Linked DNA regions of Caenorhabditis elegans. The protein of the gene in region 2 interacts with the protein of the main gene of each other region in a biochemical or structural test. Each region holds a gene or a part of one and is shown on either strand. Other genes may lie near its edges.

Region 1 (8,461 bases), on a different chromosome or scaffold from region 2:
TTAGTCAAAGTTTTGGTAAATTGCAAAATTTTCCGAACTTTTGGATTTTTTTACAAAATTTCGAGCATTTTTGAAACCGCATATTCACATTGCATATAAAAATTTTCAAAATTTTTTTTGTAAAAATATATAAGTTGCAATATTATACATGGTTTTTTTAACAAACATTTGAGTGGTTTTAACAAATTTCCCAACTAACAATATTTTCAAAAAATTTGTTAAGGTCTACCAAAAAGGATTAAAATAACTATGTATATATCAAAATAAAAGATCCTGTTTTTTAACAGATTGTCCAAAATTTTTAGTCAAATTTTTAGCAGCTTTCGAAATTTTAGGAAATTTTCTTTGTTAGGAAATTATTTTTTGATGGCATTATTTTTTTTAGGAAAAACTTTGCAATGTAGTTCTAAAATAAAAATGAAATAATTATTTTTGTGAATCGTGAATCGAAAATTTACCTTGTCAGCGAATTAAGAAAATGAGATAGATTGGACAGTACGTGATGCAAAGATATAGGGGTTTCACAAAATATACAACAAAATGGAAATATATTAAAAAGGGAAATAATTAAAATCACAAGGAAAAATTAAGCTAGACGAATATTAAAAAATACAAGCTTGAAAGAAAGTTGGTCTCATTTTTTGGATTTTTCACAAAGTTTTCTTTTTTTTTTCAAAATTTAGTTTAAAATATATTACTTCAATTTAATGTCTGCTTCTTCGCACACGGCGTTGAACGACAATTGGTGGTGGAGATGGAGTTGCTTCTTCGATCAATTCATCCTCTTCATCTTCCTCTTCAACTTGACGACGCGGACGTCTTCTTACTGGCTCATCGTCTTCATCTGAATCCTCAACACTTAATTCACGACGAGTTGCGGGTGGGAATCTATTAAATTCAGGAAGATCACTGTCATCATCGAGACCAAAGTCCGAGAGTTTCAGCATTTCCAGCCGGCGTTGTTTACCTGAAAATTGGTATTTGTTGAGATGGGTTTAAGTTGGACTGGTTGCTACTTTGATTTGGTATTTTACAATTAAAGTGCAGTTGATATGTCACTAATTATTACTTACGTTTTGGTGCAATAACGACATTGCTGAGCCCATTACTCAAATCAATTTCCGGTTCAATCTCGGCACGTCGTAGCTTCTCGCGCCGTTTGATCTCCTCCTCGAAAATCTTCAAAATCGGACGATTCTTGATCTCCACCGCGATCGGATCCACCATAATGTTATAAGTTTTTCCATCGATTTTATAGATACCAAGCAAGCGATTTCCGACCTCGAACATTTGATTTCGAAGCGAAATTATGATAAATTGAGCGTTCCGTGTTCGCTCGGAATGCTTGATATAGTTTGCAATCAGGCTGACATTGTTCAAGTCCAGTGCCGCATCGATTTCATCCATCACGTAGAGGGGTGTTGGACGGTAGTGGTGCATTGCAAAGACAAAGCATAAAGAGGCCAGAGTCTTCTCTCCGCCAGATAGATTCTCGATGAGCTTCCAGGATTTCTTGGCGGGACGTACACTGAACTTTATTCCACCATCGAAGGGATCGGTAGATTTTCCTTCTTCCACAAACTTCAAACTAGCATCTCCGCCATTGGTGATAAGCTGTAAGCAAATAACTTGTTTCTTTTAATCTCATTTAAAGCAATGGGTCTGACAGAAAAAATGCTTCCTGTCAGCCTGGTAGCAGGCAAGTACCCCTTACTCACCTGGTAAAGCATTTGGGTAGTAGTACCCAAGAATGCGAGCGCCTCGCTGAACTCGTTGAATCTCGCCATTCTCAACTCGTTGAGCTTCTCACGATGAGCCTTCAGCTTATCGCTAAACTTCTTCGCTGACGTCACCTCGTTCATGAGAAGCGACACAATCATCGCATAATCCCGAACACCTTTATTATCAAATTCCCGCCGGAACTTGTCAACATCTTTTTCCAGCTTGCAAATCTTGTTAGCAGTGTCCTCGAAAACATCGTCCTCAAGCATTCTCGCTTCGTGCTCTTCGTAAGCTTCACGGTGAGGTTCGATCATACTGATGCATTCATATGGGAGTACAACGTGCCTAAAAACTCAGTGATTATAAATTTGAATTTGCACATGGAAAATCTCCCAAAGCTTCTGAAACGTACCCATCAGTCATTTTGGCCGCAATATCTGGATCATTATATCTGACAAATTTGCCAGGTGGATAGAGCTTTTCCGGTTGCATCCATGCAGATTCAATAATATCAAGTTCTGCATTATCCGCCATTGTCTTGTTTTCCAAGTCATCAATGATTCTCATCAGTTCATCATAAGTCTGTTTGACCATGTTGTAGTTGTCAACTGTGGTTTGATAGGCTGCATCTGCTTCTCGGCGTGCCGCAACCGCTTCAGTGTACCTGGCTCTTTGTGCATCAATGCTGGCCTGGAAGATTAAAAATTAGAAAATAGTAAAGCTTGAATTGGTAAATTCTGAATAGCTCGAAAATGGCGAACTTCATAAGGAGACTGCTTAAAAAAGCGCAAAAATTGTTTGAATAGTGGTTTAAAATTTTGAAAAAAAATCGAAAATGTTTACTAGAACTAAGGGAGCAAGGTTGGAAACACCAAGCTAAAGCCTAAGCCTAAAAAAAGCCTAAGTTGGAGCTCAAGCCAGAACCTAAGCCTGGACCTAAGCTTGAACTGAAGTCGAAGCCTAAACATAAGCCTAACCAGAATCCTAGTCCTATAGAAATTAAACATACCGTTGAAGTTTGCAATTGCGCATTGATAATATCAATTCCCTTTACATCCTCTCCAACTTCCAATTGAGCCAATGCATCTGCCTCGCTACGTTTCTCCAGACACATATGCTCCAGCTCACTAAGCTTCTTCTCGGCCTGCTCCAAATGTGATGGATTGTTCTCAATAATTGCAGTTTGTCGTGCAATGTCCTGCTCCAGCTGTCCCATTCGATCCTTCGCCTGCTCAATTGAGTCCTTATTTTTTTGGACCAACTCCATAAACATTCGGTCCATTTTCCGTTTGTATTGCTCAATTTGCTGCTTGATTTTTGCTGAAGACTTTTGGCTCTCCTCCACTTGACGTTTCAGATCTGCAATTTGAGCTCTCTTCTCGTCCAAATCCTCAACGGTCACTTCTCTATAGTTAACCATACGGCGCTCATGTGCTGCGATTGAGCTCTGGAAATAATTAAAAAATTAGAATGGAAATTTTGAATAAAATCTAGTTTTTTTTTCGATATATCCATTTTCAAGAAAATCGGAACAGCGAAAATTTCTGTGTTTCAGTAAGAGACGCAAAAATAAATCACCTTTAACTCGGCAATCCGTGTTTTCTGCTCCTTGGTGGACATAATCAATTCACGCTTACGAATCTCGAGCTGTTTGATAATCGGACCATTGTCGGCTCGGATCTCTTCTTGCTTTAACTGCAACTTCAAATGAGCTTCCAGTGCGTGATTGTGCTTCTCCTGTGCGGCTCTTAGCTTGCTCAAATCAACTTTTTTGACTCCACTCATGTTTGGATTATTATCATTTCGAATACGACCAGTCGTCGGTTTTCCACCACCAGTCAATGCTCCACTTCGGTTCAAAATTGAGCCATTCAGTGTGCAATAACGATGCCTTCCAGGATACTTCTTATCAATTCGAGTTGCTTCTTCAAGACTGTCAACAACCAGAATGTCATGGATCAAGAAATAGAATTCGCGGCGAATCTCAGGGTTTACACAGTGAATCTTATCGAAAAGTCGTTCGGCTGGGCTGAAAATAAGAATTAATTAGATTTGGCAACTAAAGGCAACTACCAACAATTTCATTGTAGAATCCATTCCGCTAGTATCAGTATCTTTCAAGTGATCCAAGAAGACAAACGTCGTACGAGGAAGTTTGTACTCGTGGCAGAAGCCAATTCCGATTCTACATTCATCGCTAGTTTGCACAACGTGGTAATCCAATTGTGCAAAGAACACTGTTGAAATTGCGGTGTCGAACTTGATTGGGATACTTGCCAAATCTCCCTGTAAGACAATTAATTTTAAATTGGTCCTCGAAAAAAAATCAATTCGAAATCAGACTAAACGTGTGGCTTCTGAATTTGAAAGATCCTATTTAAAATGTATTTCTCCCAGAAAAATCATACTTACATGGAACATCAGATTACCCCAGGATGCTCACAGCTAATCAAATTTCAAAGCAGGTACTCACTCCCAATCGAATAACTTACCAAGCGACCTTTGAAGCCCGGAAATAATCCAGCCTCTTTCAGTTCATGAAGCTTTGCGGTTGCCTGATGACGGTACGTAACTTCCTGGGTGTTCGATGCTTCAATCACTTCTTGATCCAGCTCATACTTCTTGCTTCTCAAAAGTTGTTCGGTAGACTTCAAATGCGGAAGCTTCTCGACAGCTTTGTCAAACTTCAGCTTTCTATCTTGCAGCTCAGTTGTGACGGCGTTTAGCTCACTGGAAGGATATGGGGAATTTTTAAAAGCTGGTTAAAATAAAATAAAATAAAATAAAACTTACGTATTATCTCTAATGTTCTCAGCCATCATTGTTTGCAATGTCCCTTTAAGCTCATCAACTCTCTTCTGTCCCTGCTCCATCATTATCGTCATATCCTTAAGTTCTGATTCAGAAACGTCCAATTCTGCTTTTGCTCGCATCGATTGCAGAAGCTCATCTGAGAGTTTTTTCTCCAGATCATCATGCTTCGCTCTGTCGGCACTAGACTTCTGATCATACTTGATGAGATTCTCTGTAGCTGTCCGCTGACACACATTCTCCTGCTCCTTGAGCTGATCCCATTCGAGTTGCATGTTTTGCTTAGAGATTCTCGCATTCTCTGGAGCCGTCTCAATTTCAAACTTCTCCCGACGAGCTTCATCCCGCTCCTTCATGAGCTTCCCAAGGTCCTGAGTACACGACTTGAGCCCCTGCTTTCTCTTAGCATCACGTGCATGCCAGTCATTCTTCTTCGATTGCCAATCGATTCTTTTATTCTCCAGCTCAGTGACAATACTATTAAGGCTTCTCTCGTGAGTCTCCTTCTTCCGAACTTCATCCTTTGCCTCAAGCATGATATCCTTGTTCTCTTCGAGTTCTCCTGTTCGAGTGACAAGACTCATTTTGGCGTCCCTCATTGTTTCAGCATAACGGCACAAATTGTGCTTGACACGGATTCCACGAAGGTAGTTGAGATTATTGAAGGTATTCAGGTAGGCCATCCCGATAACCATTGCCTTTTCAAAGACTTTTAGGTGTCCCTCGTGGCGGCGAACACTGGAAATGGAAAGAATTTTAATTTGAAATTTTTTTAAGTTTCAGAAAATTAATATATTTCAAGTTGAAACCGCAAAGTTTTTTTGTTTTTTCCTAGTTCAATTTGAATTTCCATGCTTTATATTTTTATGTGGTACATCCGTGCCAAAATTTGTGGTATTTAATAATATTAAAATGAACTTACGAGGCTCCATATTGTGAACTTTTGTGCTCCAATAGAGAAACCCGATGCATTAGTTTGGAAATTGGTGCGACAAAACGATTGGTTCCAACAATATCCTCAATATATTCAAGCATTCCTTCTTCATTCGGATTTTTGGATGTTGGCTTCATTAGTGCAATCGCTTCAACTTCTCCTTGCAGAATCAGGAATCGATTATGGGTCATATCAATTCCAGCACGTAGGAGAAGCTCCTGGACGTCTTTTTGCGATGCATCTTTGTCATCAATACGATATTTTGAATTGTTTTCACGATTTATTGTGCGGGTGATGCAGACGCAATTATCTGTTAACACTTCATATTTATCGTAATTTTCGACAGGCTGAAAATTAATTTTGATATTGATAGTTATTAGTTTGTTTTCAATCGTGTGGATCTCAGGCCCGCTTTAATAACCTACTTACCATATCCTTCACCATCTGGAACATAATTGTTACTGAACATGATTCGTAGTTCCCTCCTGAATTGATCAATGCTGATAGCTTCTTGGTACGAATTTTTCCAGCCTGAAACAATGTATATTGTGGAATAAAAATTTCAATTTAAAAAACTCACTTTAAATCCAAACACGAATAGCAATGCATCAATAACGTTTGACTTTCCACTTCCATTTGGTCCCAGGATCATTGTCAAGTTCTTGTGAAACGGTCCGAGAATATGTTTTCCAGCATAACTTTTAAAGTTCTCAACGTAGATATTCAGAATTATCATTCGATTTCCATCCGGATCCGAGATCTGATCTTCATATTTTGGGGGAATTTGAACATTCAAAAGATCCTCTTTTTCATCATATTTCACACCGTTTTCAGCCGCTTCAAGTTCCAACATATACGCGCCTGAACTAACATCATCGAATATGTTGAGCTGTTCCATGTACTGTCGTCGGCGATCCACGTCGAGATCGACTTCAGGCATCGAGTCGGTGTCAGCATATGGTCTATCATCGTCCGAGGTTAGCGCCCGTCTTTTAAACGGCTGCATACCTGAAAAAAGGAATTAATTTTGATAAATATTAAAAGGGAGAGGGAGAGTAAGAGGTGCATAATTTTGCCAAAAAGGCAAAGCTTTGGAAATGTTTTGACAACTGGCAAACTTTCGACCCCTTCCAATCAAATTTTTTTGGTAATTATCAACTGACAAAATTTCTTTGAATGCCAATTGCCAACATTACCTAATCAAAAAATTTTGAAATATATATTTCATATTTAAAATTGAATCACACAGTTTACAAATTGATAACATTGAAAAAAGTCATCTAGAAATTTATTAATGTTATAGTATATTATATAGTTATCAGTATGATTTCACCTCAAATATTGAAAACTAAATTTTTAATGTTGGGGAAAAATTCAAATCGATAATTCAAACGAATTTTTTTTCCGGACTTTAGGAAAATCAGGGCACAGATAACATTGGAAACTATATATAAGTTTGTTAATTTTTTTAAGATTTAAGATTATGAAAGCTGCGCTAATTAATTTATTTGTCAAATTCAAAAAAAAAGTTAAGAAACGGTCACACACGAGCACACACCCATTTCATTGCGCGCGCGCAAGCGTATGTCTGTGTCTGTGTGTGCGAGCTGTTACTACTGCTGACCGAGTGTGGGGTTAGAGGCAGACGACGAAAGAGAACGAAGGTGAAAGTGGAAAAGAGCATGGAGAACGTGGAGACTGAGAGAAATGACAGACTCCGACTGCGGTCAAGACGATTCGGGTGAGAGAAAGAATAGTGGAATAAGAGACGGAGAGAATCCATAGCAATGGGTGGGTGGGTGATGAGCGGAATATTGTTGCGAAGAAGGTTGGGTGTACCAGACTAAGGAGCTGGAGAGATAAAGATTCTAATTATTTGAAAATTTGGCAAACGTTTCCCATTACTAGATGTACAAATCGATATGCTACAGATAGTCGATCAACGATCACGCTTTGGGAAAAGTATACGAGTTTTCAGCTGAAGAGGTCCCCAAAAAACCGAGAGGTTTTTATATGTATAATATTGAAAAAAAATCACTAGATTTTATTGATAAGAAGTAGTTTAACACGATGAGTGAAACTTGAAATTTTATATTAGATATGTATGTGAATCCAGATGGAAGCATGAAGGAAATGAGCCAAAAATTTTGTCAATTTATGTGTCTGTACGATCTCTATTGAACTTCGTCTATAATAGAACAAGTAGTTAAAGTCCTGATAGGCATTACTGTCTGCGATTACCCGTGTCTTGCTCCGTCAAATCCATTGCACCAGTTGATCCGGGCATCCTTAATGAAGAAGAGAATAGAAGAGAATTGAAGTCAGAAGACAAAAGTATAAAACTGACTAGTTTTAACAAGGTGTGAGAAACAAGAGACGGATGATTATTTTGTACTTCTCAGGTCGCCTAGGTAACAAGCACACTGGTACGGGCTGGCACGACTCCATCTTGTGATGGGTAGAAGAGGTGTGTGAGAGAAGAATATGAGCTGATCTCCTCTGTTGAGATGATAGATAAGCTTATAATTTGAGCAGTTAGTTGCGTGTAATTGAGGATTTCGTTTTTGATGTTGCAGCCAACAACGGGTCTTCTAATGGTGGGAAATGAGAGATCAAACAACGGATGGTCTTGTGAGCAAGAACATCTGCCAACATACGGTTCAGATGAGCATATTACAGAGTCACAAACCATGTAAACTTCTAGAAAGTCTGCAATCGAAAAAATGGAGGGGAACTGTAGAAGAAGAAACAGGGGTATAATTTGATGTAAAACGGATTTGGATGTAAAACGAAATTTTCAATTCCGACAAAATGGCGGTTTTCCGATTTTCCGGATATTTTCATTTTCGGCAATTTTCCGGTTTTCCGTTTGCCGGATATCAGATTTGCCGGAAATGATTAGAGGTATTTTTCATAAGACGGAAACACTAAAAACTGTGCCTATTTGATTTTTTTTCCCCGTTTTTATAGTTACTTTCTTAGAATTTGTTCACT
Region 2 (3,478 bases):
TTGCCGTCTTGAAAGCGGCAAAACCGGGCGTTCGCTGGACGGATATGCACATTTTGTCGGAAAAAGTGATTCTGGAGCATCTCAAGCAGGCTGGGCTCATCGTCGGCGACATTGATAAGGCTGTGGAGGCACGTGTAGGCGCGGTCTTCATGCCTCATGGATTGGGACACTTGATCGGGTTGGATGTGCACGATTGTGGAGGATATATGGGTGATGCGACGCCGAGATCAACGCTTCCCGGGCTCAAGAGCCTCAGAACGACGAGAACGCTGATGGAGAGAATGGTGAATAGCTCTGCAACCCGTCAAAACAGTCCCAAAACAGTAGATTTTCGGAAAAATCGATAATTTTCGCAGAAATCGAGTTGGCAGAGCCCTGCAACCCGTAAAAATTGTGGAAAAGCTGACTTTTTTAGTCAAAACTGTCCCACGGGAGTAAATTTTTCGGAAAAATCGATAATTTTCGCAGAAATCCAGGTGTCAGAGATCTGCAACCCGTTAAAATTGGAAAAAATTGACTTTTTCAGTAAAAATGGTTCCAAAGCATTAAAATTTTCGGAAATATCGATAATTTTCGTGAAAATCGAGGCGGCAGAGCTCTGCAACCGTAAAAATTGTGGAAAAGCTGACTTTTTCAGTCAAAACTGTCCCACGGGAGTAAATTTTTCGGAAAAATCGATAATTTTTTGAGTTTTGAGCTGTTAAAGCATGCAAAATGCCGAAATTTTATCGAAAAGTAGAAAAATTAGCCCCGCGGAGCTGGAAAATCCAGAAAACCTCAATTTTTCCGAATTTTCACGTAAAAATCGATATCTTCCAGGCAATCACCATCGAACCCGGCTGCTATTTCATTGATTTCCTGCTCAACGAGGCGCTCGCCGACCCGAAAAAGAGCGAATTCCTCGTCAAATCCGAAATCGACAAGTACCGCGGATCAGGCGGCGTCCGTATCGAGGATGACGTCATCATTCGTGCTTCTGGTAACGAGAATCTGAGCGATCTTCCACGAACCGTCGAGGAGATCGAGAACTTCATGGCTAGTGGAGGCGAATGGACGGAGAAGGTCATCGAATCTCGTGTCTCTGATTTCTTGTCCAAGTGATTTTTTGTCTACTGATTCTAATTTATCATCATTCCTACTACTATTACTGTGTTATTTTTTCATGTAAAATAAAATTTAATTTTTAAAAATTTGGGATTTTCCGAAAACGAAGAGTTTATTTGTAAGATAAATAAGTTATTTTAAACTTTTTTGGTTGTATAATATGATTCGAAATGTGGAAAATAGATTAAATGAGACAGAGAAACCGAGTATCTCAGTGGAAAAGGGATGGATGGGTGTTTGTTTTCGGATTAGAGTGTAGGTAGAGGACTAGAATCCGCCCAGCTGCTCTTGGTAGACCTCGATGACGTCATCGTCCTCCATCTCGAGCGTCTTCGGTGTGTCATCGTCGTTGATGCGACGTCCGTCGAAGAGGAAACTGCAAATATTTAAAGTTGATAGGAATTGGCGCGGATTTCCAAAACTCACCGAAGACTGTTGACGGCGACACCGGTTCTGTCAGCGTACGACTTCTTCAGCTTGGCCATAGAGGTTCCATACTTTACACGGAAGTGCACTTCGTTGCTGTCCTGCAATTTTTTTGGGAATTATTAACAAATTCGCGGCGAATTTCCAGTCAAATTACCTGTCCAACGACCTTGATCTTGATGTATTCGGCGTTGTCGCCTGCTTGAGCTGCATCATCGGCCATCGTTTATAGCGGGAGTCTCTGAAACGAAATTAGATTTGAAAAGAGAAAAAGAGATAGAAGGAGAGAGGTAGAGTTGCTATGGAGAATGCAACTCACACGAGTGAAAGGTATTAAGAGTGCAGAATGATGACTTTCTAGGGTATTTATATAGACGCTGTAACAAATAAAATCGATAATTACAGAACAGCTGGCTGAGCCACAAGATGCTTGAAAAATTAGGAATATCGATTGTCTGGGGAGCGCTGCGCTGAGAATTTCAAGAATATCACTGCGAAATTCAGAAAAAAAACCCATTTTTCTCAAGGAAATCCTTTTTTTTAGGATATCCAGTTCCTATCAAGTTTTCTACGTGGTTTTTCAGCGAAATTGACGAAATTTAGAAGCAAAACTTAATTAAACGCATCGCGACCGGAGAAAGAAGGCAAAAATAAATGAAAACACACGAAATGAGCCGAAAAATCGGGCAATACGCGCCTAAAAACCTTTTCGAAATGATTTCCCGCGTTGCAGAGTGTGCATGTTCACGCCGCGGTGTTTGCACACAATGCACCGCATTTCACGAGCAACACGAGGGTACGGTAGATTTTGGACAGGTTTTTGACCAAATTTGGTGCTTTTTGGACTGAAAAAATAAGAGATTTCGGCCTAAAATAGATAAATTGGTGAATTATTTGAGTTTTCAACGAAAAAAATGTTTTGAACAAGTTTTCGGAACAAAATTCAAGGTTTTCGCTTGGTTTTTGAGGAAAAACTCTAAAAATACCGTTTTCCAATATGTAACAAGGCAAACTGGATTTTAAAATATAATTTTAAGCTAAAAACTACAAAAACAATTGTTAATGAGCATTTTAGGCCAAAAAGCGATCGATTTAATTCGCGCGGTATCGTCAGGTCTCATCGTGAAATTGCAAGCGCGCTCTAATGTGAATATCGATTTTTCTTTATTAAAAATATATTCAAATTTAATGCTTTATACATATTTATGAAATCAATTAAGAACAGCAATTTCCAGTGTTTTCGACCTCCTTAACCGTCATCAACGGGCCAACGAAGAAATATCCGATGGCGTGGCCTAAAATTTACGAATTTTAAGCTTTTCTTCTAAAAATTCAAAAAAAAAAAAAAATAAATAAAACCTGCTAAAAGCGAGAAAAATAGCGGATAATTATATGTCATTGCTACCAGCATCAACGAATAATCCACAAAATTTTGAAGAAAAAATAGAAAAGAAGACGCAAAATGTCTCCAACTTGAGATGGATTCCATTGTAAATCTGCAATTTATCACCTTTTTTCGGAATTTCGTATCCTGGAATATTTTAAGCCAACTCACGGAGCCAACGATGCCAGTTTGCCACGTGGCGACGGCTCAGGCTCTTCCGGAATCTCCCAAATGCCTTCAGGCGTTGAGCAACAGCAATCGACGGCCTACAATTTTTTTTTTGGAATTCAGGAATTCCCGAAAAATAAAACACGGGTTTCTGGCTTCCCTCATAATTTGAAATGGAAGAGTTTTTGCCGAATTAGGCCATTTTGGCTCGGCCATATCTGGCGGCGCGTAGCGGCTCAATTTTAGTTGAAAAACTAAATGTGATTTGTCCGTGTGGAGTACACGACTTTCCCGTCCGGCAGGCGATTGTCAATGGAGCGCGAAAAATTCAATGAGGAAGGCCAGAACCCCCGTGATAAAATTTTAACAAAAAATCACCAATTTTTCCTTCACAGT
Region 3 (6,839 bases), on a different chromosome or scaffold from region 2:
CGTTATTTGAAATAAAACGTTCAAAAAAATTGCTGAGCTTTCTGGAAGCTTTTTAGAAATTGTATTTTATTTAAAAAGAATCTGAAACTTTTGCAAAAAAAGGTTTTTTTTGAAAACACGTTATATTGTTCTTCCCAGAAAGGGTGAGAATTTTTACTTCAAGAAGTACTCTTTTTTATAGTTGCATGGAACGTGTTCAGTACAAAGGATTGTTTTTCTTTTTTTAGATTCAGAAATCCAGACTAAGCTCAAAATTTTCGAAACAAAAATAACAAACCAGCGTAAAGTCCTCGAATTCCGTCCAATTTATAAGTATCCTTGAGACAAACAATCCAATTTGAATAGAGATTCGGGAATGTTTGTACTTTTACTTTAACTGTATCTAATGGTTGTCCAGCATACACGTTGGCAATTCCACCAGCTGTTCCAGCCAATAAATCGATAATTCCATCTTTAAAATGATTGGCTGAAGCATCACCCGTTGCAGTTGTAGGTTCACCGCTTTCATGCATATTTCTATCTATTTTATTTTCTGAAATAACAAAAATTGGAAGAAATGGTTTTGAAAATTTCCAGAAAATTTAGATCACGATCATTTTTTCTTGTTTGCTAAATAGCTGGTTTTGTTGGTTTTTCGGACCAAAAAACAAAAAATTTAACTTTTGAGTCGTGAGGAGGAAAACAAAACGACAATTTCTTTTGGTTTTGGGAAGTTAAATTTTTTGTGACTTTGTGATCACGATGAGCACAATAAAGGAGGATTTAAATTTCCTCTGTTTAGAAAATAAAACATTGAATCTGTATAAACTTCAAAATATATAACCATGAGGTTGAAAATAAAACCAAGAAGAAAAAAAAATAAATTTCAACGAAAAAAAAGTGAAGAAATTGTATTTATTGCAACTTGCAATGGTGACGGGGATCGGGAGTGAAATATATTGATATAACAGAGAAAGCTGATTGATATTATTGAACTGGGAATTGAAAGGTGGAAGGGAGAGAAAATTGTTAATAAATACGTCAAAAATCAAATAAAACTCGGATAAAAGGAAGAATGAAAAAGAGAAAAGAGAAAAAAGGCCAGAGATCCACAGAGACAAAAAAATCTTAAAAACGGGATGGGAAAGTTTGCATCACCTTTTGAAACAAAACAACGTCATCTGAGAATGACCACGTGACAAGTGATAATGTGATGTGATCTGACACCGTCGATCATCTTTAATCTTTTGTATGAACATTCTTTACACGGTATGAAATGAAATCAAAAGTTATAATTAGTGATGAGAATCACAACGATATTTTGGATAATGAAGAAATGCTACGAAAATGGGAAATATGGTTAATTCGAAATACAGAAAATTAAAGACTTTCTAGATGATTCGGGCTTACGACACCGACAAAATATAAGTTTTAATTATGCCCAATGAGAAGAAAATACATTTTACAGCTACTTTTCCGGAAACAAAACTATGAATTATGACACTTTTAATCTTCTAGAATCAAATAGTTGCGAGTAACTTCTTCGAAACAATCTCGTAAACCATTCGCTTTCTGTAGTATGGCATATTTTTCTGCGTGAAGCGAGGCGTCGTTCGTCGAGATGCCCATTCACCGAATTGGCATGAGAATACTCCACAGTCACTGCCATTTTGTTGACGAGGAATGTCCTAAACAAGATGATTATCGCGTGTTGAAGATCTTTTTGTGTGTGTAATTTCAGAAGTATTACTGGTTGTTTTAGAGAGCATAGATATCAAAAAAAGAGTGATTGAGCCAAACATCTGGACTTCTAAAAAAAAACTTTTTTTCAGAAATAAATTTAAAGTAAAAATCCTTTTTTTTATTTAATTTTTTTAAAATTCAATATACCGTCATCTGTTGAATTGTCCATCCAGAAAAGTTCATTGCTGTCTTTTTCTTATCCAATGATTCAGCTTCCAAGTAACCTCTGAAATATAAAATATTTATTGATATATTCTCTGTGAGTTTTTTAAATAAAAACCAAAAACACTCAAAAAACTAACCGCAATGCTGGCAAAACGGCTGTATTTCCATCATAAAGAGAGTCATAAAACTCAATCTTCTTTTCGCCCATATCGATAACAGCCATACACCAATGCATTCCAAGATGAACTGGCACCAAAACGATGTCGAATGCAAAGATATCGACTTTTCTTGTCCATCGTTTCACACTCGCGTATCCTTTTGAAACAATATTGGAATAAAAGAATGTGTTGAATGCATAGATCTTTGGATATTTCGAATCGCCATTGCTCCGATCACAAATCAATTGAAGATAGAAATTGATGATCTCATCATTCAGCCAATGCAATCCACTCAATGTTGCAAGATCTTTTTTACAGATCTGAATGCTGAATGCATCCACAAATTGTTCATTTGGATTCCCTCCGCTCCATGCTCTTTCTACAAGAGCATCAGCAGCATCAGGTAAAGCCATAAAATCATCAACTTTCTTCTTCTCCACCTTCGGACGAATAGCGATTCCTTGCAATTCAAGTCTCTTCCGAACATCTTCCAATCGATCACCTCTTGTTTGAGAGCGATGTCCTTCTCGTATCCGAGCCTCTTCTAGAAGTTTATCCTCCTTCTGCTTCGACAATTGATAAGAATTCTGATATCTCTGCGGTCCTCGATATGCGGAACCGATTCCAAGGCTATTAATTTGCGAGAGAATATCATTGAGTTTCCTGTATGAATCAGATTCCGACGAATTTGATCGGGCGTGTTGGCGGTAACTTAAATTTATATTATTGCTTGAATTGATGAAAAACTTAAATAAATACCTTGAAGAAGTGGACTCTTCGCTATCAATGATGATGGATGGTTCTCTTGATAAGAGTGAAGGGGTGTTGCTTCGGGATCCTCCCAATTCTGCGATTTTCTGAAGAAAAAAGATCAGAAAGTTTTAAATAACAGTAATATCCTGAACATACATTCTTCGCTCTGGCTAATATGTCAGTTGATGATGTTCTCTGCATTTTCTTCGGTTTTTTTTCAACAATTCCAGAAATCGCTTTAGCTTCGTATTGTCCACTTGCAACAACTCCTTGAAGAAGTCGATCGCGAGATGACAGGTGATTTTTTATCTGAAATAATTAAACCTTAAAAATAAATAATTATCTATAAAAACAGTGGACCGAAATTAATTCTAAATAACAAAATCGTCTAATGTATCCGTTCCAAAATCAATTTTAATGTTAAAAAATTGAATCTTGTAGGTTTTGCGGACCATTTGGGAAGAAAAATCTTCCAAAATGGTTTTTAAAAAAACCTATAAAGTTTAATAATAAGAAGTTTTTGGCATTTAGAATTAATTTCTGAAGCTTCAGTTTGATACACTGAAAATTGTAATTTCTCACATTAGTTTCTCTGCTTCATAAAGAAATAATTACCTTCTTTAAATCAATAATCGTGTTCATTTTCCGAACAGAAGTTGAGTGCTTAAATTGATGTCTAACAGGGACCCGTCTCAAAACCTCTGGCTTTTTAGCAGAATTCCGTCTCCAATAATCACGAACATTATTTGATGTGTAATTTGATAATGATGATAAGCTCGGAGTAATCGGACGACTAACACTGTCATCGGGTGTCGGTGAGATAAATTCTTTGCTCCTAGAGTCAGAAATAACTGATACATCGTCTGGTGTGTCTGGATTGTCGTTGAGAAAGATCAACTAAAGTTTGATAATTTATTATAATAGAATTATTCGAATACTAATACCTCATTCTGAAATCGTCTTGCTTCTTGCAATTGCTTATTTGGTGTCTTGACTACTTTCTCGAAAAGAACGTCTGGTTCCTCATCATCCTGTTGTACTTCAAATGACTTTTCCAAATTTTTTGGCGACTTTGGGGAAGATGATAAGGTGAGCACTAAATCTCCTTGAACTTCTTGTTTTTCTTCGTCATTCCGAATTTCAACGTTTTTTTGAACATGTTTCTCAATGATAACTTCATTTTCCTCTGATCCAGCATTGGCTCTCACAGGTGCATCTTCGTTCAGAAAAATCATATATTTCTTGTTCTGTAACAACTGTGGTCATGTTTAGTTAGGGGGGGGGGGGGGGGGGTTTATATACCGTATATTCTCTATTAGTGCTGCATCTCCAGTAGTACTGCAGTCTCTAATAGTGCTGCATTCAAAAAGGGTCCGAAAAATAGTGCTGCAGTCTCTATTAGTGCTGCACCCCATTTTCTATTGAAAGAGTCACTTGACAGTTTCGATATTTTTGGGTATTTTTTTGTATATTTTATGATTTTTTGATAATTTAGGAAAGTAATTGAATTATTGGGTCTTTTTTTTACAAAAGTTCGCAATTTTTATGAATTTCTGCTTAAAATATGAGGTTTTGTGATTAAAAACTAGTGATCTATAATTGAAAATAGCCGTTCGAAAATTAATGCTGCAGTCTCCAGTAGTACTGCAGTCTCTAATAGTGCTGCATTAAAAAAGGGCCTGGAAATTAGTGCTGCATGCAGCACTAATAGAGAATATACGGTATTTGCTGAACTTAACTCCGAAAGTTAATTTATTCTCAAAATATACCTCAGCAACTCTCCTCGTCGTTCCTTCCACTATAATTTCATCATCCTCTTGAACTTGAACTTCGCCCGAAACTTCAGTTTTCTCCTTTTCTCCCGAATTACTGCTTACGAACATTCCGAAGAAGGTATTGAAAAGCCCTGAAATGTTGAAGATCGCTATTTCAAATTTATACTTTTATGGATCAAGGAAAAGGATTCACTCACCACCCAATCCTTGAGATTTCGTTTTTCTGGTTCTTTTTGTTGGCGACTGCTCTTTTTCTTCGTTTGTAACAGCTTGATCGGTTAACCAATGTCGTTTTCTTGCTAAATATTTTAATTAATTTCAGCTTATTTTTCATTCACTTCTCCTACATTGAGAGTCTTTGTCTGATAAATCAGACCTACGTGACATTCCGTTTCTCTTTCAATCGAATATCGTCTATTTTTGATGTTCCAGATTCAAGTAGCTATCCTGAAATATAGTTTTTAGCTGCTTTAAAAGATTTTTGCTATAGTAAATACTATCACAAAGGGCAACATTTTAAGTTTTTCAGCCAAAATAAAGAAGGCAATTAACCTCTAGGCAGTACGTAATCATTCAATTATTGCATAAATTACTTTTAATAAAAGAATAGATGAATGGGATAGAAGCGGAGGAGATTGGCTGCAGATCATTTTTGAATGAAATGAATAAAATTTGGGGAATCTGGAGAAAAGTTGAACTGTTAAAAAGATAAATGTGAACAAAATAAAATCCAATAGATAAAAATAGAAAGAGATCTCACCACAGGAAGACAGCCAATCAACTCTTTTTTTTTTGTTGATTCACAGTGAAAAGGAGAATTTTTGGAATCGATAATATATGGTAACGAGAGATGGAGAAAGAATAATAGTTTGTCAGCTTTTCTATAGATGGGAATATTTTCAACTTGACTGAACAATCCGGAATACAAAAAAAACAAGGAAACGAAACGGGAAAAATGTGGTGAAATTTTGAATAACTTAGTAATAAATGGTAATAAAAACAATTAGAAAGAGAATACTCGGAGACTCTTATCCAATGAACACGTCACCAATGAACGAGCATTTTCTCCGAATCTAACTCCAGTGACTGGTCCAGAATGATCAGAAAGTGATACAACTTCACTCCAGCTCTTCACATGCAAAACTTGAACTTTTTGGCCACCAATTCCTAGGAATGTTCCAGTCATGTCGAAGGACAGGGAGTTGATCTGAAAAAATTATATTTTTTCATTAAACATTTGCTTAACAATTTCTTACCGGTTGTTTCTCTTCGTTAGCGAAAGTTTTCAGATTCTTCAATTTTCTAAGATCCCATAATTTGACCTCTCCATCCTCTGATCCCGTAGCCAAATAATATCCGTTTTCAGAAAACGCAATCGAACGAACGGCAGCAGTATGTCCCGGGAATGCAGCAGCCACGGTTTGATTCTTCAAATCCCAAATCTTCACAACGGCATCCGCAGCTCCAGTTCCAAAAATAAGACCATCAGGATGGAACTCGATGGAATGAACGGCAATTTGTGATCCTGGTTCAACTGAAACCTTGCAAAGCGATTTTCCGGAACGAATGTCGGAGAATGCCCAGTAAGAATCATCAGAAGCGGAGAGAATGTAATCACCGGATGCATTGAGGGAGATATCTGTAAAACATTGTTTGTTCAATAGAAGAATTACAGCTAGCGAATTTTTTTCAAATATCTCACCTGTAACGGGTGCCTGATGGACATCAATAATAGCCTTCGAAGACGAATCAGTTGCACTCCAGACTCTAATATGTGAATCAGCAGAAGCAGAGATTGCAGTAATATTATCCGGATGCAAAACAACTGCGTTGATCTTCTTGTTATGCCCCTTGAATGTTTGCATAACCTGTTCCTTTTCATAGTCATACAAGACAACGGTTTTATCAATTCCTCCGGTAAGTGACAAATTTCCCTTGATATCCAATGCAGTAATTCCAGGAGTTCCAGTCGAATGAATTCCAGTGTGAGATGCTGTCTGTTTCAGCTCGGCGAGCTCTTCTGTTTTGGCAAGTCCTTCAGGAAGATTTTTTCCTCGTTGTTTACGTTCAGCAGTCAGACTCTTTGATTTCTCTTCAAGTTTTGCCAGAATTGCCTCACTAAGACCTTGTTGATCTTCAGACTCGTCAATGCTGACATCATCGTCAACTTTCGCCGATGTGTGTGGTTTCAAAGTAGACAATGCTTCTCTAGCAGCGGTCAATTCTTTGGAGAGGCGGGAAATAACACGACAAGCGGCATCGTGTT
Region 4 (5,601 bases), on a different chromosome or scaffold from region 2:
GAATGAAAGAAGTTCACGAGAGGCAGGCAGAGGTTGCCTTAAAGTCAGGCAGGCAGGCGTTTTATCGCCTACGTGGAAGCCAGGGGTGTGCGGCAAATTTGCCGAATTTGCCGAATTTGCCGAGCACGGCAAATTTCAAAAAAGTAGATTTGCCGAATTTGCCGAATTTGCCGCACACGTCAAAAATTTGACAGTACAATTTTGACTAAAACTATTGATTTTTTAGCCAAAAATTTAGTAAAATGATACAAAATTGAGCTATTTTGATGCTTAAACAGACATACTACGCGGAACTTATTCAGAAACCAGATGTGTGTTAAGAATTCAGTAGTTTTGGTGCTCCAAAAAACATAAAAAAAATATCAAATTTTTCCGAGTTTGTTAAGCACGGCGAATTTGCCGAATTTGCCGAATTTGCCGAATTTGCCGAATTTGCCGTGCTCGGCAAATATTGAAAAAAGAGATTTGCCGAATTTACCGAGCTCGGCAAATTTTGAGATTTGCCGCACACCCCTGGTGGAAGCCCTAGGAGAGGCTACAGCAGTTATTCCAAAATTCTCAAGGTGGGTTCAAAAATTTCCTAAATTTTTCTCATGTCCTCAAAAAAAAGCAAATACACTACTAAAACTGAATCATGCACTACCAGATGCCTATCAGTCGCACCTTTTGATGACCTTCCCCCCTGGTTATCTCCAAAATGATGATCTCACAAAAATCCGTGAAGACGCAATAATATTTATGTTCCACCCTTCCACATCTTTCCGATATAACCTATCATTAGTACGGTTTTCTTGTTGGATAAAGAGGTTTCAGGGGCTGACAAAATATTTAATATGAATTGAGTAGAGGGGTTTTTCATATGATACTACCCTAAAAACATTCCGGATGACTGATCTTTTTAGGACCCCCACTTCACCCCATTCAAGCACCTCTTCTTTGTCGGCCATATATTCCGATCCGTCAATTTTGGTCGCAGATGACTTTAATCCGCAACTTCAGCTGCTCCGAAAGAGCACAACAACAATAACAACAGATAAGGAAGACAAGAGACCCGTAAATAGTGAAGAACAGATGCTAGTTGGGATGGTTTTAGGGGTAACAGTAAAGCATATATATCAAGAAAATTCAAAGGTATAGAAGAATATCAAAATGAGTGATTTTCACCCATTTGAAGATACTTTCAGAAAAATTGCAAAGCACGTAAAAATGCATTAAATTATTGGAGGACACTATTACAGACTCTGTGGCATAGTAAAGACAAAAGGTTGTATTTTATTCCAGCCATGTGTTTAATGTAACGTTTTGCAAATGGATATAAAAACAATAGTTCCAGTTATGAACCTTTAAAGCTCTAAACATTGTCATGTGGTTTGATTTAACTTGACTCTTCAACAAGAAGTATCTAAATATATAAACGTATCAAACACACACCCTCCCCTCCGACTTATTAATTGACACCATATGTCGTATGTATATATATACAAAAGTGATTGGGTGTGAAAATGCGGTAGAAATCAAACAAAAATGGGGGACCTGCGGTACTGTGAGGCGGAAATATGTATAGAGGGAGTTGGATTTATACCGAAAATTTCGTCTTGACAATTATTTTAGAATTGAATTTTATCGTGTTATTTTTTTTGAAAATTCTGCTCAAAGTTTTAAAAAATACCCTATGTTTTGGCAAAATTTAAGTCATTTTTCTCACAAATTTCTTGAAAATTCTACTCAAAAACTTGAGAAAAAAGAAACACCATACTAAATCATCAAATCATCATTAAAACCAAATACGGATTAGCTGCTCTACCCAAAGCGACACACATTCATCAATTCTTATCGGATTTTACCCGCAAAAACCAAAACTAAATTCAGAAAAAAAGAGAAAAAAGTGGCAGGGAGAGGAATCAGTAGTTGAGCATCAACCGACAGGTGGAAGAGCATGGTCGTTACGGTTTATTCAGCCGTCTGGCAGGAAGAACAAATTGGTTTGAAACTTGTTCTACTAGACTAGTTAGTAAAATATTTTGAGAATGTGCCAATAGCTCCACTTGCCACTATAGTAGAAAAGTATCATATTGTTCGAACATCCTTTCAACTTTACCAGTTGTCATTGTCATTGTCATTGTCATTGACTCGGTTGTCATTGGTTTTATCAGAAAATTGTCAACTGACAAAATGTTTGTCACATATTTTTTTAAAGTTTTCTAGTTTACTATATTTTGATATTTTTAAAATCAACTGAAATTAGAGCTTCTAAAGTGAGGAGGATTTAACATGGTGCATCAGCTCATATCTTGGTTGTCTTTTGATTTTATTTGAAATTGTCAACTAACAAAACATTTTTCAAATATTTTGCTATAATTTTTTCATTTTAAAATTACTAGCATTAAAATAAATAGAGATATAGGCTGTCCAACAAATTAACCTCAAATGAACCCACTTTGGCAGCTTATGCAACTTTATCAGTTGATATCTTGATTGACATTGGTTTTATCAGAAAATTGTCAACTAAAAAATTGTTTTTCACATATTTTTCTATAGTTTTGTATTTTACTATATGTTGATATTTTAAAAATGAACCGAAATATGTGCTCCTAAAGTGTAGAGGTTCAAACATGGTGCATAACTTTGTCACCACTTTCCTTGGCTATCTTTGGTTCTATCAAAAAACTTTTAACTAACAAAACAAATTTCATATGTTGTTCTATAACTTTGTAGTTACATATTTTTTCGTATCTTAAACATTAACCGAAATATAAACTGCCAAAGTTGCCCAATCAATGCACCATGTCCCCTAATTTTTCATTTCACATTTCGACTGTTCAAATCACAATAAGCAAATTGCCGAAAAATGTGAAATTTTTCATTCAAAATAAAAATCACTATCAGCAATTTTGAGCCAAACTTCATTGAGCACATTTGCTTTTAGTAGCAAGTGTGTTTTGCTCCAAATACTATAAAAAATAAACTAACTTCTTATATCCAAAATTCCCTCAATCGTATGTTTCGGAGATTCTTCTTCCTCGGCTTCTTCCGAACTCGACGGCGGCTCTTTTTTGACCTGCAAAAGAATACTATTTAGGAGTCATGAAGTCAGTGGACAAACCTTCAAAAGGTCAATGTGATTCATTTTCGTGTAAACTGTAGAGTGTCGGCGCTTTCTTTTGACCTGGAAAATGGTACGGGGTGGCGGCGGCTGATGAAAGATGACGTGGCAATGAGTGACGAGCTGGCTACTATTTTCAGTGACTCTATAGATAACAAGGGACGGGAGGGGGGCTGTAAAATGCGGAAATTTACAACACTTTTTGCTCACTTATTGTTGAATTGAATCTACATTATAAAAACACGATAATTTTAAGATATGAGCAAAACTTGCTGTCACTTTACGATCTCATGCCTACCTTATGCCTACTCTAGGCACCAGGCAGGCATAAAGGCCTACTGTACAATTCATAAAAAAAGAATGAAGTATGTGGAAAGTGGGACAATTATTAATATCTTCAAATTTTAATGCGTTGTGACACAAGACACAAGGGAAAAGTTTTAGTTTCAAAGGCCTAATTCCCTTGGCTAATACGATTTTAAACGGAAGAGGAGAGGTTTAATGTTAGAATAATTTAAAAGTTGAGGGAAATGGTTTAGTCTTAGATTTTTTTTAAAAGTAAAATCATATATTGGAAATCACAAAAGTTGGTCTGCTCAAAAGTTGTTTAAGTGTAATGAAGAATTTTTTTTTAGCTATTTGATAATTATTTTATAATACCTGCAATGTTTTTGTATGTCTTCTTACTTCAAAATAGCTCAAAATTGTCTGAAATTGCCCAAAAAACTCTTTGAAAACCCGCCAAACAACGTAGGAAACCGAAACTTGCTCGAGACTTAACTTTGAAAACTTGGTTGTTTTTGTCAACTGACAAAATATTGTACAATTATGCAATTAACATTATTAATCAATTTAAAACAAACCAAATTTTTTTCCACTTGCCAATATATAACTATTTTGGAAAATTAGAAAATCATCATATTAAACGAACATGGTGCATCGAAAAAAAACTTCAACTTTACCAGTTTATATTTCGGTTGTCATTGGTTTTATCAGAAAATTGTCAACTGACAAAATGTTTGTCACATATTTTTTTATAGTTTTCTAGTTTACTATATTTTGATATTTTTAAAATCAACTGAAATTAGAGCTTCTAAAGTGAGGAGGATTTAACTGCATAACTTTGACAGCTCATATCTTGGTTGTCTTTTGATTTTATTTGAAATTGACAACTAACAAAACATTTTTCAAATATTTTTCTATAATTTTCTCATTTTAAAATTACTAGCATTAAAATAAATAGAGATATAGGCTGTCCAAGAAGGAACGACATGGTGCATCAATTGAACCTCAAATGAACCCACTTTGGCAGCCTATGCAACTTTATCAGTTGACATCTTGATTGACATTGGTTTTATCAGAAAATTGCCAACTAAAAAATTGTTTTTCACATACCGTATATCTTCTATTAATATGGCCTCCCTATTAGACTTGCACTCCCTATTAGTATTGCCCCTCGGAGACCTTCCGAAAATTAGTATGGCACTCCCTATTAGTCTTGCACTCCCTAATAGCCTTGCGTTTACTCTTTTTTATTGCAGGCCCGTCTTGTTAACTTCAGGATTTCAACAAAAAAATTTGCCTATTTTGCAACAGTTTTTCACAACATTTCTACGAGATTGAAGTTTTTGAACTTATTATATATGTTACAATTAAAAGCAAATTTTCTGAATTTTTACATAAGATTCGAGCTTTTTCAGAAAAAAACTAGTAAGCTCAAAGTCAGAAAAATGTTCTGAAAATTAGTATTGCACTCCCTAATAGTCTTGCACTCCCTATTAGTATTGCAAGCGGGAAGACCATCGAAAAATAGTATTGCAGCCATATTAATAGAAGAAATACGGTATTTTTCTATAGTTTTCTAGTTTACTATACGTTGATATCTTTAAAATCGATCGAAATATGGTCTTCTAAAGTGTAGAGGATCAAACATGGTGCATCGAATTCACACGCTCAACTTTGCCAGCTCATACCACGGTTATCTTTTGATTTTATTTGAAACTGTCATTTTAACAAAACATTTTTCAGCCATTTTTCTATATTGTTCTAATGTCAAACTTACTAACATTCTAAAAATGATTAGAGATATAGGCTGTCAAAGAAGGAAAGTCGTGGCAGTGCGTCGAATGAACCCACTCTTGCTCTACTTTAGCAGCCTATACCTCGGATGTCTTTAATTTTATTTTAATAAAATTTTAATAAAATATTGGCAACTGACAAAATATTTGTTAACACATTTTCTATAATTTCTGTGCAAATGCATAGAAATATTTCAAATGAACTGGGATACAAAATGACAAAGAAGAATGATATGGTGCATAGCTCAACTTTGGCAGCACATACCAAAAAATTGCCAACTATCACAATACTTAAATTTAGAATTTATTTCTTTGTAATTTAGTTCAAAATTTGTTAATATCTCTAAACTGAACAGACCTATGAGTCATCAAAGTATACAACTTTGACAGCTCATATCTCGGTTGTCTATAACTTAATCA

The links.
Region 1: of the proteins of smo-1 (region 2) and dpy-27, one has a biochemical effect on the other in vitro, tested with the Caenorhabditis elegans proteins (one study listed by BioGRID).
Region 3: of the proteins of smo-1 (region 2) and ulp-1, one has a biochemical effect on the other in vitro, tested with the Caenorhabditis elegans proteins (one study listed by BioGRID).
Region 4: of the proteins of smo-1 (region 2) and lin-1, one has a biochemical effect on the other in vitro, tested with the Caenorhabditis elegans proteins (one study listed by BioGRID).

Annotation. Positions count from the first base shown.
Region 1 is NC_003281.10:3,813,205-3,821,665, forward strand, and holds dpy-27 (Chromosome condensation protein dpy-27), read right to left. Parts: upstream 6,476-8,461; 5' UTR 6,474-6,475; coding exon 6,048-6,473; intron 5,999-6,047; coding exon 5,897-5,998; intron 5,815-5,896; coding exon 5,456-5,814; intron 5,272-5,455; coding exon 4,516-5,271; intron 4,453-4,515; coding exon 4,215-4,452; intron 4,009-4,214; coding exon 3,800-4,008; intron 3,752-3,799; coding exon 3,301-3,751; intron 3,170-3,300; coding exon 2,732-3,169; intron 2,413-2,731; coding exon 2,135-2,412; intron 2,068-2,134; coding exon 1,719-2,067; intron 1,615-1,718; coding exon 1,074-1,614; intron 968-1,073; coding exon 705-967; 3' UTR 440-704; downstream 1-439. UniProt on the Caenorhabditis elegans protein: Central component of the condensin I-like dosage compensation complex that associates specifically with hermaphrodite X chromosomes to reduce their gene transcription throughout development.
Region 2 is NC_003279.8:1,338,978-1,342,455, reverse strand, and holds smo-1 (Small ubiquitin-related modifier), read right to left. Parts: upstream 1,779-3,478; 5' UTR 1,754-1,778; coding exon 1,688-1,753; intron 1,632-1,687; coding exon 1,531-1,631; intron 1,481-1,530; coding exon 1,372-1,480; 3' UTR 1,191-1,371; downstream 1-1,190. Other genes in the region: K12C11.1 (Xaa-Pro dipeptidase), read left to right, coding at 1-284, 820-1,101; K12C11.7 (Copper transport protein), read right to left, coding at 2,746-2,825, 2,890-3,026, 3,086-3,180, 3,461-3,478. UniProt on the Caenorhabditis elegans protein: Ubiquitin-like protein which can be covalently attached to target lysines as a monomer. Does not seem to be involved in protein degradation and may function as an antagonist of ubiquitin in the degradation process.
Region 3 is NC_003281.10:5,164,780-5,171,618, forward strand, and holds ulp-1 (Sentrin-specific protease), read right to left. Parts: upstream 5,021-6,839; 5' UTR 4,961-5,020; coding exon 4,921-4,960; intron 4,873-4,920; coding exon 4,771-4,872; intron 4,705-4,770; coding exon 4,568-4,704; intron 4,046-4,567; coding exon 3,743-4,045; intron 3,696-3,742; coding exon 3,414-3,695; intron 3,108-3,413; coding exon 2,955-3,107; intron 2,903-2,954; coding exon 2,805-2,902; intron 2,757-2,804; coding exon 2,025-2,756; intron 1,949-2,024; coding exon 1,870-1,948; intron 1,668-1,869; coding exon 1,500-1,667; 3' UTR 880-1,499; downstream 1-879. Other genes in the region: T10F2.2 (Mitochondrial ornithine transporter 1), read right to left, coding at 278-512; prp-19 (Pre-mRNA-processing factor 19), read right to left, coding at 5,577-5,780, 5,830-6,212, 6,276-6,839. UniProt on the Caenorhabditis elegans protein: Protease that deconjugates smo-1 from targeted proteins and may catalyze the processing of smo-1 to its mature form.
Region 4 is NC_003282.8:2,297,160-2,302,760, forward strand, and holds the start of lin-1 (ETS domain-containing protein), read right to left. Parts: upstream 3,128-5,601; coding exon 3,104-3,127; intron 3,059-3,103; coding exon 2,971-3,058; intron 1-2,970.